2 linked regions of the Rattus norvegicus genome follow. The protein of the gene in region 1 binds, or shares a complex with, the protein of each later gene. Links are inferred from orthologs where the notes say so. Each region holds a gene or a part of one and is shown on either strand. Other genes may lie near its edges.

Evidence for each region.
Region 2: the proteins of Sntg1 (region 1) and Trpv3 are in contact, whole or in part, in a crystal structure (PDB 7QQN), measured with the Homo sapiens proteins. The link is inferred for Rattus norvegicus from reciprocal best matches to the Homo sapiens genes SNTG1 and TRPV3. Residues at the interface, in NP_001274742.1 of Homo sapiens: Arg62, Gly66, Gly67, Phe68, Gly69, Leu70, Ser71, Ile72, Lys73, Gly74, His78, Ser85, Lys86, His118, Glu119, Val122, Arg126; in NP_659505.1 of Homo sapiens: Pro786, Glu787, Thr788, Ser789, Val790.

Annotation. Positions count from the first base shown.
Region 1 is NC_086023.1:15,574,966-15,583,180, forward strand, and holds part of Sntg1 (gamma-1-syntrophin), read left to right. Parts: intron 1-4,573; coding exon 4,574-4,735; 3' UTR 4,736-8,215. UniProt on the Homo sapiens protein: Adapter protein that binds to and probably organizes the subcellular localization of a variety of proteins. May link various receptors to the actin cytoskeleton and the dystrophin glycoprotein complex.
Region 2 is NC_086028.1:58,386,591-58,395,111, reverse strand, and holds part of Trpv3 (transient receptor potential cation channel subfamily V member 3), read right to left. Parts: intron 4,909-8,521; exon of another isoform or gene 4,406-4,908; coding exon of another isoform or gene 4,358-4,405; intron 3,299-4,357; coding exon 3,194-3,298; intron 3,087-3,193; coding exon 3,000-3,086; exon of another isoform or gene 2,683-2,999; coding exon of another isoform or gene 2,366-2,682; coding exon 2,211-2,365; intron 1,528-2,210; coding exon 1,351-1,527; intron 1-1,350. UniProt on the Homo sapiens protein: Non-selective calcium permeant cation channel. It is activated by innocuous (warm) temperatures and shows an increased response at noxious temperatures greater than 39 degrees Celsius. Activation exhibits an outward rectification.

The sequences.
Region 1 (8,215 bases):
GGTCTGAAATTCTCTTTCTTTCTTGGGTCTTTGTGTGATTTAGGTATAAGCATAATTGTGGCTTCATAGAAGGAATTGGGTAGTGCTCCTTCTGTTTCTATTTTGTGGAATAGTTTGGATAGTATTGGTATGAGGTCTTCTATGAAGGTCTGATAGAATTCTGCACTGAACCCATCTGGACCTGGGCTCTATTTGGTTGGGAGACTTTTAATAGCTTTTAATAGCTCTTATTTCTTTAGGAGTTATGGTACTGTTTAGATACTTTATCTGATCCTGATTTTATTTTGGTATCTCGTATCTGTATAGAAATTGTCCATTTTCTCCTGATTTTCCAGGTTTGCTGAATATAGGCTTTTGTAGTAGGATCTGATGTTTTTTAAAATATCTAAGATTCTGTTGTTATGTCTCCCTTTTCATTTCTGATTTTGTTAATTTGAATACACACACTGTGTCCTCTGGTTAGTCTGGCTAAGGGTTTATCTATCTTGTTGATTTTCTTAAAGAACCAGCTTCTGTTTTTGTTCCTTCTTTGTATAGTCTTTTTGTTTCTAGCTGGTTGATTTCAGCCCTGAATTTGATTATTTCCTGCCTTCTACTCGGTTTGGGTGTATTTGCAACTTTTTGTTCTAGAGCTTTTACGTATGCTGTCAAGCTGCTAATGTATGCTCTCTTCAGTTTCTTTTTTGTGGCACTCAGAGATATGAGTTTTCCTCTTAGCATTGCTCTGATTGTGTCTAATAAGTTAGGGTATGTTATACCTTCATTTTCATTAAATTTTAAAAAGTCTTTATTTTCTTTCTTTATTTCTTCCTTGACCAAGTTACCATTAAGTAGAGCATTGTTCAACTTCCATGTGTATGTTGGGTTTCAGCTGTTTTTATTGTTATTGAAGACCAGCCATAGTCTGTGGTGATCTCATATGATGCATGGGATTATTTCAATCTTCTTGTATCTGTTGAGGGCTGTCTATTGCCCGATTATATGGTCAGTTTTGGAGAAGGTACCATGAGGTGCTGAGAAGAAGGTATATTCTCTTGTTTTAGGAGGAAATGTTCTATAAATATCTGTTAAATCCATTTGGTTCATAACTTCTGTTAGTTTCTCTGTGTTTCTGTTTAGTTTGTTTCCATGATCTCTCCATTGATGAGAGTTGGGTGTTGAAATCTCCCATTATTACTGTGTGAGGTACAGTGTGTCCTTTGAGATTTAGTAAGGTTTCTTTTATAAATGTAGGTGCCCTTGCATTTGGAGCATAGATATTTAGGTTTTAGAGTTCATCTTGAATATGTAGTGTCCTTCCTTATCTTTTTTGACAAATTTTGGTTGAAAGTTGATTTTATTCAATATTAGAATGGCTATTTCATCTTGTTTCTTGGTACCATTTGCTTGGAAAATTGCTTTCCAGGCTTTTCTCTAAAGTAGTGTCTGCCTTTCTCACTGAGGTGTGTTTTCTGTGTGCAGCAAAATTCTGAGTCCACTTTATGTATCCAGTCTGTCTGTCTATCTCTTTATATTGGGGAATTGAGTCCATTGATGTTGAGAGAGTGTAGCGACCAATGTTTGTTGTTTCCTGTTACTTTTCTTATTAGAGGTGAAATTATGATTTTTTGTCTCTCTTCTTTTGGGTTTGTTGCCAGAAGATTATTCTCTTGCTGTTTTTAGGGTGTAGTTTCCTTGCTTTGTTGGAGTTTTCCATCTACTATCCTTTGTAGGGCTGGATTTGTAGAAAAATATTGTGTAAATTTGGTATTGTCGTGGAATATATTGGTTTCTCCATCTATGTTAATTGAGAATTTTGCTGAATATAGTAGCCTGGGCTGGCATTTGTGTTCTCTTAGGGTCTGTATGACATTTGCCCAGGATCTTCTGGCTCTCATAGTTTCTGGTGAGAAGTCTGATGTAATTCTGATAAGTCTGTCTTTATATGTTACTTGATCTTTTTTCCCTTACTGCTTTTTAATATCCCTTCTTTTTTGTGCATTTGGTGTTTTGACTATTATGGAATGGAAGGAATTTCTTTTCTGGTCCAATCTATTTGGAGTTCTGTGGGCTTCTTGCATGTTTATGGGCATCTCTTTCTTATGTTAAGGAAGTTTTCTTCTATAATTTTGTTGAAGATATTTACTAGCCCTTTAAGGTGGTAGTTTTCACTGTTTACTATACCTATTATTGTTAGGTTTGATCTTTTCACTGTTTCCAGGATTTCCTAGATGTTTTGGGTTAGGAACTTTTTGTGTTTCACTTTTTCTTTGGTGGTTGTGTCGATGTTTTCTATGGAATCTTCTGTCCCTGAGATTCTCTCTTCTATCTCTTGTATTCTGTTGTTGATGCTTGCATCACTGACTCTTGATCTCTTTTCTAGGTTTTCTATCTCCAGGGTTGTCTCCCTTTGTGATTTTTTTATTGTTTCTATTTCCATTTTTAAATCCTGGATGGTTTTGTTGAATTCCTTCAACTGTTCGGTTATGTTTTCCTATAATTCTTTAAGGGATTTTTATGTTTCCTCTTTAAGGGCTTCTACTTGTTTACCTGTGTTGTCCTATATTTTTTAAGGCAGTAATTTATATACTTTTTAAAGTTCACTATCATCATAATGAGATTTCATTTTAAATCCAAATCTTGCTTTCCAGTGTGTTTGGATATCCTGTATTTGCTTTGGTGGGAGAAGTGTGGTTTGATGATGTCAAATAGTCTTGATTTCTATTGCTTAGCTTCCTGAACTTGGCTCTCACCATCAGGTTGTCTCTGGTGTTGATTTGTCTACCTGTCTATGACAGGGGTTTGACCTTCCTGTAAACCTGTGTGTCAGCACTCCTGTAGACCTGTTTTCTTTCAGTGGGATCTGGATACAGAGAGCTGTGTGACTGGGTCAGCTTCGGGTATAGGCAGAAATCGGAAGGGTCCTGTCCAAAACTGCTCTTGGGTTTGTGTGTCCTAGGTCCTCCAGGCAGGTCACTTGGAGCAGAAGGATTGGTCTTAACTCTGCTCTCAGGTGTGTTCTGGCTCCTGCAGGTTGGCTTTCAGCTCAGTGTGCAGGCAGAAACCAGAAGTGTCTTGTCCCTGTCTGCTCCTAGGTTCCTGTGTCCAAAGGGCACAGAGGGCACTTGGCACATTCCTCTTGGGTCAGGAGTGTTAGCAGAAGTAATTGTGTCCTCTGAGTTCTCAGGATTGTCTACACTTCTGAGAGTCCATCTCTGTCCCCCACCAATGGTATTCATTTAATGACCAAATACTTAAATGTTTAAATTAGATTTTATTTTGTAAGATTCACAGAGGGAGTAGGGGAAACAGATAATTTCTGTTGCAAGGCAAAAGCATACACAACTCATATATGTGTGGGAATGAAAGTCTCAGAAATGTGAAAAATGGGTAGAGAGAGAAGAATACTTCTGACAATTCATACAGCTGTGATCAAGGACATAATGGAAATGACTGCGGCTTCAAGATCTCCACATGGACATAGAAGACTAGGGAGGTTGTGTTGAATTATTGCCAAAGGTGAATTCATCAGTCTTCTGCAATATCTTCTTAATATCTGTTATTCCTATAATCCAGAAAAAAACCTCAGTGTGAAAGATATAAAACTAATTAAAGTCTTAATCAATATCATATTATTATGAAATACTGCACAAGAGGATAGAATAATTAGAAACACCAATCTTATATAAAATGCCTAAATGTTTAGAAGTTTGAAGAGCTTGAAAAACAAATACTGTCTTCAACTTAATAGACACATTTTTGAGAAATATTGCTTTAATATTTGTTTTCAAAGACATTCAAAATTATTCTTCTCCTAAATGAAAATACGGAACATATACACAGACAGAGAAACACAAAGAGAGAGACATAGACACACAGAAATATTAATGGGGTGGAAGGGATGTTGGGAAACAACATAGTAGTGATTTGACAGAGGAAAGAAAGGGAAAAATAAATTTATGATTGTATTTTAGTTAATTATTCATTAAAATAAAATAAGTCTTAGATAATTGTGACAGAATTAAAAAAAAATTTCCTTGGTGGAAAAATTTTTAGCTACTACAATAATGAAGTAAAAATTTTACCACTTTCAGAAATGTCAAAAATTAAGCTGTAAACTATAAAATGGAGAAAGACAACTCTTGAGGTACTAGATGAATTCTATTGTGTTCCTATTGTAAAACCCAAGAGAAAACACTAATGTTCATCAATTTTCTTCAGCAGCACTTTGGTGTATTATCATCTCTTCTAATCATGTGGATTGTATAAATTGTAAACATCAGGAACAGTATGTAAAGCATTTGTAGTTATTCATCACTCACCACAAACAGAAAATGTGTCATTAATTTCAGTGGTTTAGTACATGTGAATTATCCTCTTTGCAATAATAAGTAATCTGCACATCATTTTATTAAGCAAATAAATCTATTAATCAGCTTTCAATCTTCTTGGCATTATAATGCATCTATCATAGTATTGTATTTTCATACATTCCATATCCTTGATTCCAGATGTTTGTTACACGTAAATATGACAATTTGTTGACAATTTCATGAAAAAATATTTCCCTGATCTATTTCTCTTTTCCTTTCAGGAGTTGGAATTTTCAAATTTGTTTGCTGTTCTTCACTGTATTCATTCATTTTTTGCTGCCAAAGTAGCTTGTTTGGACCCTCTGTTTTTAGGTAATCAGGCTGCTACTTCCGCTGCTGCTGCCAGCTCTGCTTCTACAAGCAAGGCAAAACACATGGCTTGACATGCTGAGCTCTGCCTGACAGCCGGCAGGGCCACTCGCTCCCTACTTCCACCCTAGAGAGACCATGCTGTCACCAAGTCAATCATGGAGTCAGATTGCAATTCCAGCAGCAGAAAGGTCAGGAGGCATCTGCAAATGACCCTGGGAGGGCAGAGAAAATTATTCCTTCCCCCCTGATCTCTATCAGGATACAGCTGTCACTGTGTTTGGTGACAAAGGGATGATTGGTGTAAAGTATGTAAATATTAATAAAAATTGTAAGCTACCTATAAATAAAATACCAATTAAATGACTATTTCTCTATTTTAGATGATTTTCTATGACAAATGCATATTGGGCCAGATCATGAATCAATGCCCTATCATTGTATTATGAGTGTAAAGAAGTTAAAAAAATAAAAGCAAGGCAAGTAGCATGCACATTAAACAGACAAACAAACGAACAACAAAATGAAAACAAATGACCTCAAAGACAGAAGCACCTTAACTTATCCGTGTGAGTTACTTCCTATATTCCCATCCCATGGTTCCATATGAGCACTCCAGCTGTGTTTATCTTATTGTAAAATATTCTGGAGAATTAATAAAGACAATTACATTGGCTTGTGAAAACACCCTAGGAAATGAAACATTTCTTCTTTGGTGAATGTTACTAATATGTTTTATATTAGAAAATGGTATTAATTATGAATGTCAAAAACATTCTACACTTAAACACATTTCTTCTTTTTTTGCTTAATGAGGTTTATGAACAAATCAACATTAATAAATTTAAATGTCCCAAAACTCTTGCAGAAAATAATCAATAAATTCTGTGTAAGAAACAAGTCTTTGTTATAGTTTTCTCTTTAGTCATTAACTAAAAAGTTCCTGAAAGGTACTCTCAGAGGTTATGAAAACTGGTGATATTTTCATTTGAGTTTACTTATGTGTAAATCAAGTGAGATTTGAAAACAAGCATCAAACAAGCATCGTGTTATAAAGTTCCATGGAAAGGGATTGAATAGTGTCCCATGAGGTAGGCCGCTGCAGGTAGCTTGTTTCAGCACTAGGAAGGTAAAACATCAAAAAGGTGTATTGTGGGGTGCGCACTCATAGCCAAGAACTGGAGATTGCTCATCATACAAAGCACGAGGCAGTCTCTGCCCTTTACTAAGGCTCTGTTGGTGTCTGCTTTAAACAACTAGCTGCTTGATCAAAAGTAAACAAATAAAGCCCACTTTTATCGGTACATATTTCAATTGAATATTGTTTGATTCCCCTTAAAATGATCAATTTCTAATAAGTAGGTCAGTATCCCTTCCTTAAATAGGAAACAATCCCACATTAGACTCAAGAGGAAAGCAAAATCTTTTCTTTAAAGGAACACTTACGCCTAAGTGTAAAGTCATCAAATAGTGAACTATTTTCATAATAATTAGAAATACTAATTTATTTTACACTGGATTAAGTGAAATCTCAAAATGAGATATGGAAATGTTAAGTTAGATCTAAAGATGCCTTGCCAACAGAACATGGAAATTTGATAATAGAGGTTTATATATTCTATTTGAACAAGGAATTTCAGTGTATACCCACAATAGTCACTTGGGGAGTACTGCTTACTAGAGCCACCAAACACAAAGGCTATGGTAATTCTGAATTTCACTAAGTTCTGAGTTCCACCTGTCTAACATAGAGGAGAAAGAGTAGAGAGAGACACCCTTGCTATCTTTTTTGCAAGTTCTGCTGCTGCACATGGTGGGTGCTGCCCCCAGGGTGGGTGACCACTGGAATTTAAAACATACAGTCTCCTGTAATCATTCAAAACAACTTCATAGAGCTCAAGAGATGGCTTAGTGGTTAAGAATCTTTACTGCTCTTTCAGGGGACCGGGATTTGATTGCAGAACCCACACAGTGACTCAGAGTCATCCGGGACTGCAATTTCAGGGGTTTTAATGCCCTCCTCAAAACTCAGTAGCACCAGATTCACAGGTGCATATACAAACATGCAGGTGAAACATCGCCTAAAAAATCTAAAAGTAGATTTTACAAAGCTCTATTTAAGCATACAAACCCTTTTTTGCTGTTGTTGTTATATTAACTATTCTATCAGTGCCCCTGTTGTAAAAACCAGCTGAACTGTGAGATTAGATCTGAGTATAGAACTTGTACCCTATGCGTGTTTGTAGACATATGAATATATGTATAGAGACAAGTACAAAATGTTGAGCTTAATTATACTGAAAGAAAATGTTTCACATGCATATATAGCTATATATGTATTGAGCTATAAAGTGTTGGTTGAATTAAAACCTACTAGAACAACCTTATTTTTCTTACTTTTTATAATATTGGTTAAAATATCACCCAAGCTGAAATTTCTATTTAACATGATTAGTATAATAGGTACCAATTAGGAAAATACTTTTCTGGTTTTCATACATTTACCAGTTAGTATTTAATGCTTTCTTTATAGTGTAATTAAGCACTGTGAGATGCTATGACTTTGGCTACTTAAATGAGAAAACTGTAGAAATTCATGAAAATACAGAGTTCAACTTCACAGTAAGTTAGGTTAAGATATAGATTTTTTTTTCTAACAATCCCAAGTTTGAGTATTAAGCAAACATGAGAATGCTTAATTATGTGTTAACCCCTTCAGTGCCTTTTTGGATGTGTATGCACATACGTGTGTGTGTGTGTGTGTGTGTGTGTGTGTGTGTGTGTGTGTGTGTGTGTGTGCCTGTGTAGATCATTAAAGGGCTTATTATTGTGTACACACTGCAAGCTTAAAGGAAAATGTAGTTAAGTGTGTTAGAGAGAGGAGTTTAAAACAGCTAAGATGAGAATGTCTTTTCTGTGGTAAACAAAAAAATTATCTGAAATAAAGTGCATCAAAGCAGGAGGACTTGAGTTTGTTATAGGTTAACTCCAAAATTACCTTAATAGATGATTTAAATATAACAAATACCCAATGCTTCCTATCTAATTCTATTTTATAGAGCAGAATGTGCCAGTAATTTCTTACTCATATTTCAGGCATTAACTGACTTCTTGTTTTAAAACCTTTGCTTATAAACCTGTCATTCAGCAAGAAGAAAAGAAATTGAAGTCCAGTCAATACTGGCAAGCAGAGAAGGCACTTCCACATAGGCAGTGTGGTTGTCCGCTGGTATATTAGCTAATGAATCCACATAGCCCTCATTGACAGTGACTAAGATTGTTCATAGTATAGTCTGGGTTGAATGCTGGACTTAAGTGAAGCTTGACTTCTGAGGAAACCTCAATCTGAACAATCACTTCATTTTATTGTTTCACACCAGCAGTGTGGAGAAGCTTTATCAGTCAGGCACATGCTTGTGCTTAACTTTGTAAGGTAAGTGTCTGTGCTCTAACCCAACATTTTGTTTATGTTGGTATTGATGGTCTCATACACTAAAGGTCTATCTCAATCCATACCTTTAAAAATCACTGTTTGTGTTTTGTTCTGACTCCTT
Region 2 (8,521 bases), on another chromosome or scaffold:
GTAATGCCAGGTACTCAGCAGGGAGGCAGGAAGATCACAAGTTCAAAGCTATCTGGGTTGTGAAATGAGTTCTAGACCAACCTGAGCAACTTAGTGAGGCCTTAGCTCAAATGTTTTTAAGAGGTAGGGAGGTAGCTTCCTGGTAAGAGCTCTATCCAGCACCACAACCCCAAAATTAAAGGGATCTTGTGCTAGCAATGGTGAGACCATAGGGCCCTGAACTATAAACAAAAAGAAAGAAAAGTACAGAAGGTCGGAAGGGGAGAGGAGGCAGGACAAATAAGCCTCAGATACTGGTCTGAACCTGGCAGGCCTAATGCCAGCTCTCATGTGACAGTCTGAAGACAGGATATGGCTCTCTCTCCAGCAGTCACAGCAATTCTTCCCTGGGGTTCCCACCCCTCCTCCATAGTGCTATGACGTTCCCTTTCAAAAGTCTGTATAGTTCAAACAATAAATCAAGATTACTTTCCCCATAAGGATTAAAGACACCCCCCTAGCTCTCACCTGGAAAAGCTGAGGTGTTTACAGCCCCTGGCGTATCAGCAAGACTGCTGATCATGAGCTGACCACGTCTGCTGTCTGCTAACTGGGACAAGCTGTGTACTGACTCAAAAGACTCATGACATAGCCTGTTAACAGTTCACACAGTGTGTCTCCTGGTCAGGGAAACAAGGCAATAAATTATATTCCCTGGTTCCACAAAACCACTGAAATGGACAGCTTATTCATGACTGTAAGGCTGACTGCTGCCTTTGCTGTCCCCTACTGGGCTCTCCAGGCTTCTCCTTCGGTTGTCTGGTTTTTGGGGTTTTTTTGTTTTTGTTTTTGTTTTGTTGTTGTTGTTCTGTTTTTTGTTTGTTTTGTTTTGTTTGTGGTTCTTGGGAATCTAACAGTGTCTTGAACATGCTAAGGAAGCGCTTCTCAATCTAACAACATCCCCAGGCCCTGCGGTCTTCCTAGTGTCAAATCCGCCAAGCCCATGCCCATCTTGGGGTTCTTACCCTGACCCTGCTCTGGATCCTTCCCATCAGGTGAGCTTTGGCCAAGGCCACTGCTGTTCACACCCCAGTGTTGAACACCTGGTTGCTCACCCCAGTCACTTTCTGTCACACTGCATCATCTTTACTTCTGTTCCTGGCATATTCTGCCTAAAGTCGCCTTTTTAGAGCATCAGTGTTTCCTGACCTGTTCACCCACGCTCAGCGTTATTTACATGCAAAAGAAAGGGCCATATCTCTATAACCAAAGTGCCTCTGTGAGGCAAGGTAGGCTGTATCTGTAGCCACACCCACCTTGGGAAATCCCAACCTCTCCCCGTTGCCCTTGGTTGCCTCTGCCTCCAGGTACCTTCGTAGGCCTCTTCCGTGTACTCTGCATTGATGAACCTGTCCAGGATGTCATTCTCCTCAGCGAAGGCAAGCAGAATCCGCACGATCTCTTTGGTGTTGGGGTTGATGTTGAGCAAAGCTTTCATCAGGCAGGTCTTCCCAGTGTCTGAGGCTGTCAGCTTGTGCATGAGGAAGTCTGCAGACAGAGTCAAGGAAAAATGCAGGGGTAGGAAGAGCAGACAGAACAGTGGAAGCTGCAGCCTCGTACTTTGGAAGTACGCCCTCCAGCCACAAGAGAGGGCCCTCAGGCCTGTACACCAGATCCTCTTTCTTCCTCCAACTCCCTCCCTGGTTCGTTGTTCACAGCTCTCTACTGCCTGTGAAAACCTTATCCAAGTCCTCCTGCTCTCCAAGTTCTGCACCTTCTCTCGCAGGAGAGACAATGTCACCTGCAGCCTGGCTGCCCATGTGGGTGCCAAAATCTCCATCATATCCCTCCTCATGCTCTAAAAGTACATCTTACCACCTCCCCCACCAACCTGCTCCTCTCCTTAGTCCCCACACAGCTATGGACCCCCAAAGCCTTCAATTCCTGTCAATGCCCAAGGAACCCTTCCCCATCCCCTAGGCCTGCTGCAGGGTGCCAACACTCTGAATAGCAACCCTCTCCTGACTTACTCCACACAATAGCCAGACCACGCCCTCTTCCTACCTAAACCCATGACCCGGGACTCCCCATGGCCCTCTAAGTCAAGCACAAGATTGCTATCCCAATATCCATGCCTCATGCTTCAGCCCCACAGGAGATAGAGCAGGGGCCAAGCCAAACCAACCAGGGTCTCCAGGGGCCTGCACTCTAGGACAGGGCTGGGCACTGACCAGACGCATCCAGGCCGCGGCGCCGTCTGCAGAGCTCCTGCAGATCCTGCAGGAGTTCCCGCAGCTCCCTCACGCAGCCCTCTGATACAGCCGCGAAGATGCACTTCTTCAGCCGCTTCTTCTTCTGCCTCTGTTCTTCCTTGGCCAGGTTTGCGCTAAGACCGGAAGACATTGCGAATTCATCCCGTTTGCCTCTGTTCCTACCCTCTTCCCCTCCACCACCGGAGCTACTTAGTTTCCGGGCCACTGCTCCAACCCCTATGCCTCCTATGTCTTTGGCAATGCCCAGATTTGTGTTCCATGTTTGGTCAAGCTCCCCTTCCAATCCATATGCAATCACATCTATCAAAATACACCTGCATACACGTGAGAATGAGCAAGAAGGATGTATGTCTAGTGTAGCCATTACTCTGAAATATGGAACTAAGGGAAGAGAAAGCTCCCTTTCACTGGCATATCTGAACATTTCCATGTATCCCTTCCTGCCCCACACTCTAAATAGACTATTACTGTAATGCAGATGTGTCTCCTTTCACTTATGTAACTTGTGCTGACGTCCTTATTCTTTTGTACATTTTTGAATGTTTTATAATGAACAGAAATCATTTTATAATATACTGATATTTTGCTCTGCTCCACAAAATGTCACAGGCTACAACCATGGCCTGGAGCCTCCAGATGTTTGTCTCAACTCCCCAGAGATGCTGGTTCTTTCTCTATCCTGTACAACCCATCCCTGTGATGTACCCTCTTCTGAGATCAGTGAGGGGAGGGAAAGGGCACACTTACCTTGGACTGTTGGGATTGGATGGGGTCTCTGTCACATCATCCTGAGGAGACTGAGGAGAGTCCATGTCATCACAGTTGCCAGAGAGGCTGGAGATGGAGAAGAGGAAAGAGAGTAAGCCAACTTTAGAAGTGGACAGTGCTACTATGCCACCACCAGGCCTAACCATGTGTTCAGGCCAGCAGCCAGTACTCACCACTGCCGGATGTTGGAGTCCATCGGCTTGGAGAAGATTGGGGGAGAGGTCTTGGTAACAGTGGGGTTGGGCTCAAATCCTTCTATCTCCAGGAAGAAGTGTGCACTGAAGGGACCAATCAAGGCCATTAGAACTGGGGCTGGGCCTGTCTGCCTGTGTCCTGCAGCCTTGCCACAGAGGACCCACTCATGCTGAGCCCTAGCCTTTGTGCCGTGTGTCCTGGCCTAGCCCTCCAGGATGGAGTAGACTCTGGGTTCTTAGCTGAGTTTAAATGGCTCTTGCCTCTAGAAGTACTGTGTGGATGAGCCCAAGAGGATCACTGAGCATGGCCCAGCACCTGAGGGTTTGCGGCTGCCCTCAAGTATACAGTCTTTCAAAGATGGCAACGTGGAAACAGGCCTTCCCATCTCCAACCAGCTGTGCCTAGAACATAAGCCTGGAAGCAGAGAAGCCTTTGAGAGGGGGGCCTCTAGGCTCAAAGCCCCACAGGCCTTCCAGCAGCTTAAGAGGAAGGGCCAGAGTCACCCTGGCTGCTCTTGTTGCCCATTAGCCCCTTTACCACAGCAGGAAATGGACTAGGAAAGCTAGTCTAGGGCAGAGAGCTGGGGGCCTGGACTGGGGATCCTCCACTAAGAAGAAAAACTCAAACCAGTCATGGTGGCATCTGCCCCTAATCTTATAACTCAGAGAGTTGAGTCAAGAAGATCATAGGTTTGAGGCTAGCCTGTGCTACATAGCAGGACTATCTCTAAAATAAAATAAAATAAAATAAATATCATGTGAGAATGGCTATCATGAAGATAACAAGCAACACCAAACGGTGGTAATTGGGACAGACAAGGAGAGAGCACTCACATACTGCTACAGATAACATAAAATAGCACAGTCTCTGTGGGAGTCAATATGGAGGCACCTCAAAACTTTTAAATTAGAACTTCGATATGATCCAGCTCTGGGGTCTGTAGATCTATAGAAAAAAGAATCCAAGCTAGTTCCCTACAAGGACACCTGCACATACACATTTATTACACCACTATTCACAATAGCCAAGTTAAAGAGTCAGCCAAACTGCCCACCCACAGATGAACAAATGAAATACGGTATTTTATAAGATAGTGTTCTCAAAATGGACTTGAAATTTTTTCTTTCTTCTTCTCTTTGTAGGAGGAAGTCACAAGGGTTAGGGATGGACCTTCAAGGACTGAGAGGTGAATATGATCAGGGTGCATTGTGTAGAATTCCCAAATAATCAACAAAAATATGATGCTGGAAAAAATAAATAAATCAAATGACGTCCTATTTAGCCATGAAGAACTGGATCCTGTAACATTTTCAGGAAAATGTACGGAACTGGAGATGAGCCCGCTAAGTGAAATAAGCCAGACTTAGAAACACACAATATAGAGCAGGCCCACAAAGCTACAAGTGGAAGTGCTAGGGATGCGGAAGGATAATGATAACAGGAGAAGGAATAAGGAAGAATAAGAAGGATTCGGGAGGTGGCTCAGCACTTAGAGGACTGGCTGCTCTTCCAGAGGACCCAGGTTCAATCCCCGGCACCCACATGGCTCACAACCATCTGTAACTCTAGTCCTAGGGGGTTCTGTACCTTCCTTCTTCTGGCTTCTGTGGGCACTTTACTCACATAGCGTACAGGCATACATGTAGGTAAAGCCCCCATATACATAATAAATATAAATTCACATATAAATAAATAAGTGTTCAAATTTTATTTTTTAGAAAATAGCAAAAGAGGCTAATGTGATCAGAGAACATTGTGTACATTGTATGAATGCCTTAATGACACCACTACCTTTGTATCCTATATATACAAGCAAAAAAAAAAAAATGAAATAGAAAGGAGGGAGAGGGCCCAGAAAACATTGCCAGTCAGTGGAGGTGGGGGTTGGGGGAGGAGAGACAAGTCAGCTTCCTCTTCAGGCTTCAAGGGTTTGGGAGACACACCCTACCTCAAGAAAAGCCAGACACTCTGCCAGCCACGGCTAGCCACACCCACAGATGCAGACACACATGACCTTGGACACCACAGTCACCCTAGGAGGTGAGTGTTCCCGTGGTGACACTAAGGTGAGGATCAGCTGCGAGTGAACTCAGTTCTGGTACAGCAGCTGCCGTAGCAAAGCTGCAGCCGGCCGTGTAACCCACCCAGAATGCTGCCTGCCTAACGTCAGGCACATAGCCGTCCTAAACACTCTGCCACCTGAGCCTTTCCCAGACCCAGAACAGAGGACGTTCAAAGTGCGTTTCCACCCATCTCAAACTCAGAAAGAAGAGCAGCAGCCTGGGACCAGGGCCCCAGTCGACAGGCAAAGCATTTGAGGCTAAGCATAAGAAGTATCTTCCCCTAGAGCTGACTCCAGGTGGCCATAGAACTGCTTCCTCCTGCCACCCAGGCTAGTAACTGGCACAGCAATGCACATTGCTCTGCTCTGTCCTCAACTTGGTCCTCTGGGCCAGCTTGCAGCCAAATCCACTGCAAGGGTTAGCTACAAGAAGGCTATCCAATCAGGGCAATCAGGAAAATGCTGGTTGGCCTGGGAAGTCCCTCTCCTCACTTCAGGCATAGACAAGGCTAAACTTCATCATTAATCCAGGAAGAAGAGGTAAATGGAGCAGAGGGCACACTGTCCCTCCCCCTCCTGGCTTCTGACCATCAAGAGGAGCCAGGCATGGTGGCTCACACTATGAAGTACTCGGGAAACTGAGGCAGAAAGGTTGTTCAAGGTCAGTCTGGGATACAGGTTAAGAATCTGTTGAGGTGGGCTGGAGAGATGGCTCAGTGGTTAGGAGCACTGACTGCCCTACCAGAGGTCCTGAGTTCAAATCCCAGCAACCACATGGTGGCTCATAACCATCTGTAATGAGATCTGACGCCCTCTTCTGGTGTCTCTGAAGACAGCTACAGTGTACTTACAGATAGTAAATAAATAAGTAAATAAATAAATAGATAAATCTTAAAAAAAAAAAGAATCTGTTGAGGTTAGGGAGAGAGAAAGAGAGAAAGGACAGAGGAAGGGAGGGAAGAAGGAAGGGAGAGAGGGAGGGAGAGATTGAGATTCTGGCCTTAACTAAAAGCAAATACTTCAAAAGAGATGAAAATATCAAAAGAGAGAAAGCAAGTGGAGAAAATCTTTGACTAGGACTCAAAACTTGGGTTTTGATCTGTATTCTCCCTCAGCTGGGTACTCTCCATCTTTAGATCAGGAATCCTCAACTGATGGGAAACTGATTAGGCCAGGCAATTCCCAGCTACCCCAAGATCATGCACTTATGGGCTGTCGAGCTGAAAGGGACATTGGAGGTCAACCAGTCGGATGACCACACCCTGAACTCCCACTGCCCCACTCCACTCCCGCAGCCTGACTCAGGTCCCCAGCACATCTCCTAGTACTCAGCCTCAAGACATCCTGGTTGCTAGATTTTCTCCATGAAGAGCTCAAAACCCACACCCACGGTTTTCTCCAAGAAGGTTTGGTCTTGTCTTCCCGTGAGCCGACTCTGCCGTTGAGGCTGCTTTACTCGCAGATACTTATCAAGTACCCACAGTGTGACAGGCAATGATCCTGTAGCTATGACAAAGGCAACCTCCCTTCTATTCCAAATCTGCTATTCCAGTGGGCTGATCAAAAGTAACTTCAAGGCAAGACCGACAGCCTTGTACAGCACAGACAGGCCATTTCATTCTGCTCTAGACAATACATTGTCATTTAGCTGTAAGTTTCCCAATGGCAGACACTATGATAACACTATCCTTAAGTTTCCAGAATCAACTTTGATTTCCTAACAGTGGTCCTGAAACTCAGAAGACCCCACTGAATAAATGTATGTATTGATAGGTGCCCATAGGGGCCCACAGAGACTGAACCACCAACCAGACAGCCTACATGGGACTGGTGTAGGCCCTCTGCACATATGTAACAGTTATGTAGTATGGTCTTCATGTGGGACTCCTAACAGCAAGAGCAGGTGCTGTCTCTGACTCTGTTGCCTGCCTTTGGGATGTTTTCCCCTTACTGAGCTGCCCCATCTAGAATCAATAGGAGATGTGCCTAGACCTACTACAATTTGAAGCGCCAAGGCTGGTTGATATCCATGGGAGGCTTCCCCTTTTCTGAAGAGAAAGGGAGGAGTAGATATGGAGGAAGGAAGGAGGGGAGGACTGTGATGAGAGGAGGGAAGGGAAATTTCAGTCAGGATGTAAAGTAACTAAGCACATGTATTAATTAAAATTAAAAAATAAAAGAGAGGGGATAGGTGATGAGTGAGAAGTATTCGAGGGGAAGGAATAATGACTGTTCAGACAGAAGAGCAGATGAGCTAAGATGAACAGTAGGTAGATAAAAGGGTCCACAGACAGATGGATAGGTGGACGAACAGACGGACAGATGGATGTGTGGGTGGATGGATGGGTGGGTGGATGGATGGATGGATGGACAGATGGATGGATGGATACATAATAAGCAATCAAGTAGATAAGGTGGAGTGGTCTGTGGATAAGGCCAATACTCAGACAGATCAATGCAACCTAAAACTGTCAATGTTGGAGGTCGAATCCTCCCTGTGACTAGTTGTGCTACCAACTGCTGAAGCTCTCCCACCCCTCCTCAGTTTTACACACAAAGCTGAAGTGGGCTCCTCTGCCATTCCTCCACCAGGTCCCATCTTCTCTTGGATTCCTCCAAGAGATCAGGAGTGGCTCCAAAAGTCATATCATACAAGTATTCAGCACCCAGGTCCAAAGCTAAGGGCCCCAAGGAAGGGAGAAAGCATCATCTCGCCATGCAGTGGCCTGGCTGGTGCTGAGCGACTTCTTCATTGGTTCACACACTCCCTCATTCCCTTGCCTGACCCCTCACTGACTCATTCACTTACTCAAAACTAACAAGATGTCCAGTGTATGTCACTGAGGGGATAAGAAGGGGACAATCACCCCTTCCAGGGATCCCCATCCTCAGAGATGGCAACCAGGGTTGACACATTTGTCCCAGTGACCACATCAATCTCTTCAGGGAGTGTCTGGGTTATAGGCATACAAGAACAACAAAGGCCCCTATAACTGAGAACAGGAATGGGAGGCTTTGTGCTGGGCTAACTGGGATACCATATGCCATGGTTCTGGAAGAGCCCTGAAGCAGAAAGAAGAATAAGAAGTGCCTCTTACACTAGACAGGAAGTCTATGATGGAAAAGGAAAACCAAAGGACAAGATGGGGAGAGAGGAGTGATGACAGCCTGCCTGTAGAAGATCAAATGATTAGGCAAGGGCCTAACTCATGAGGCAGGGCCTGACCCACGCCTGCCCTACTTG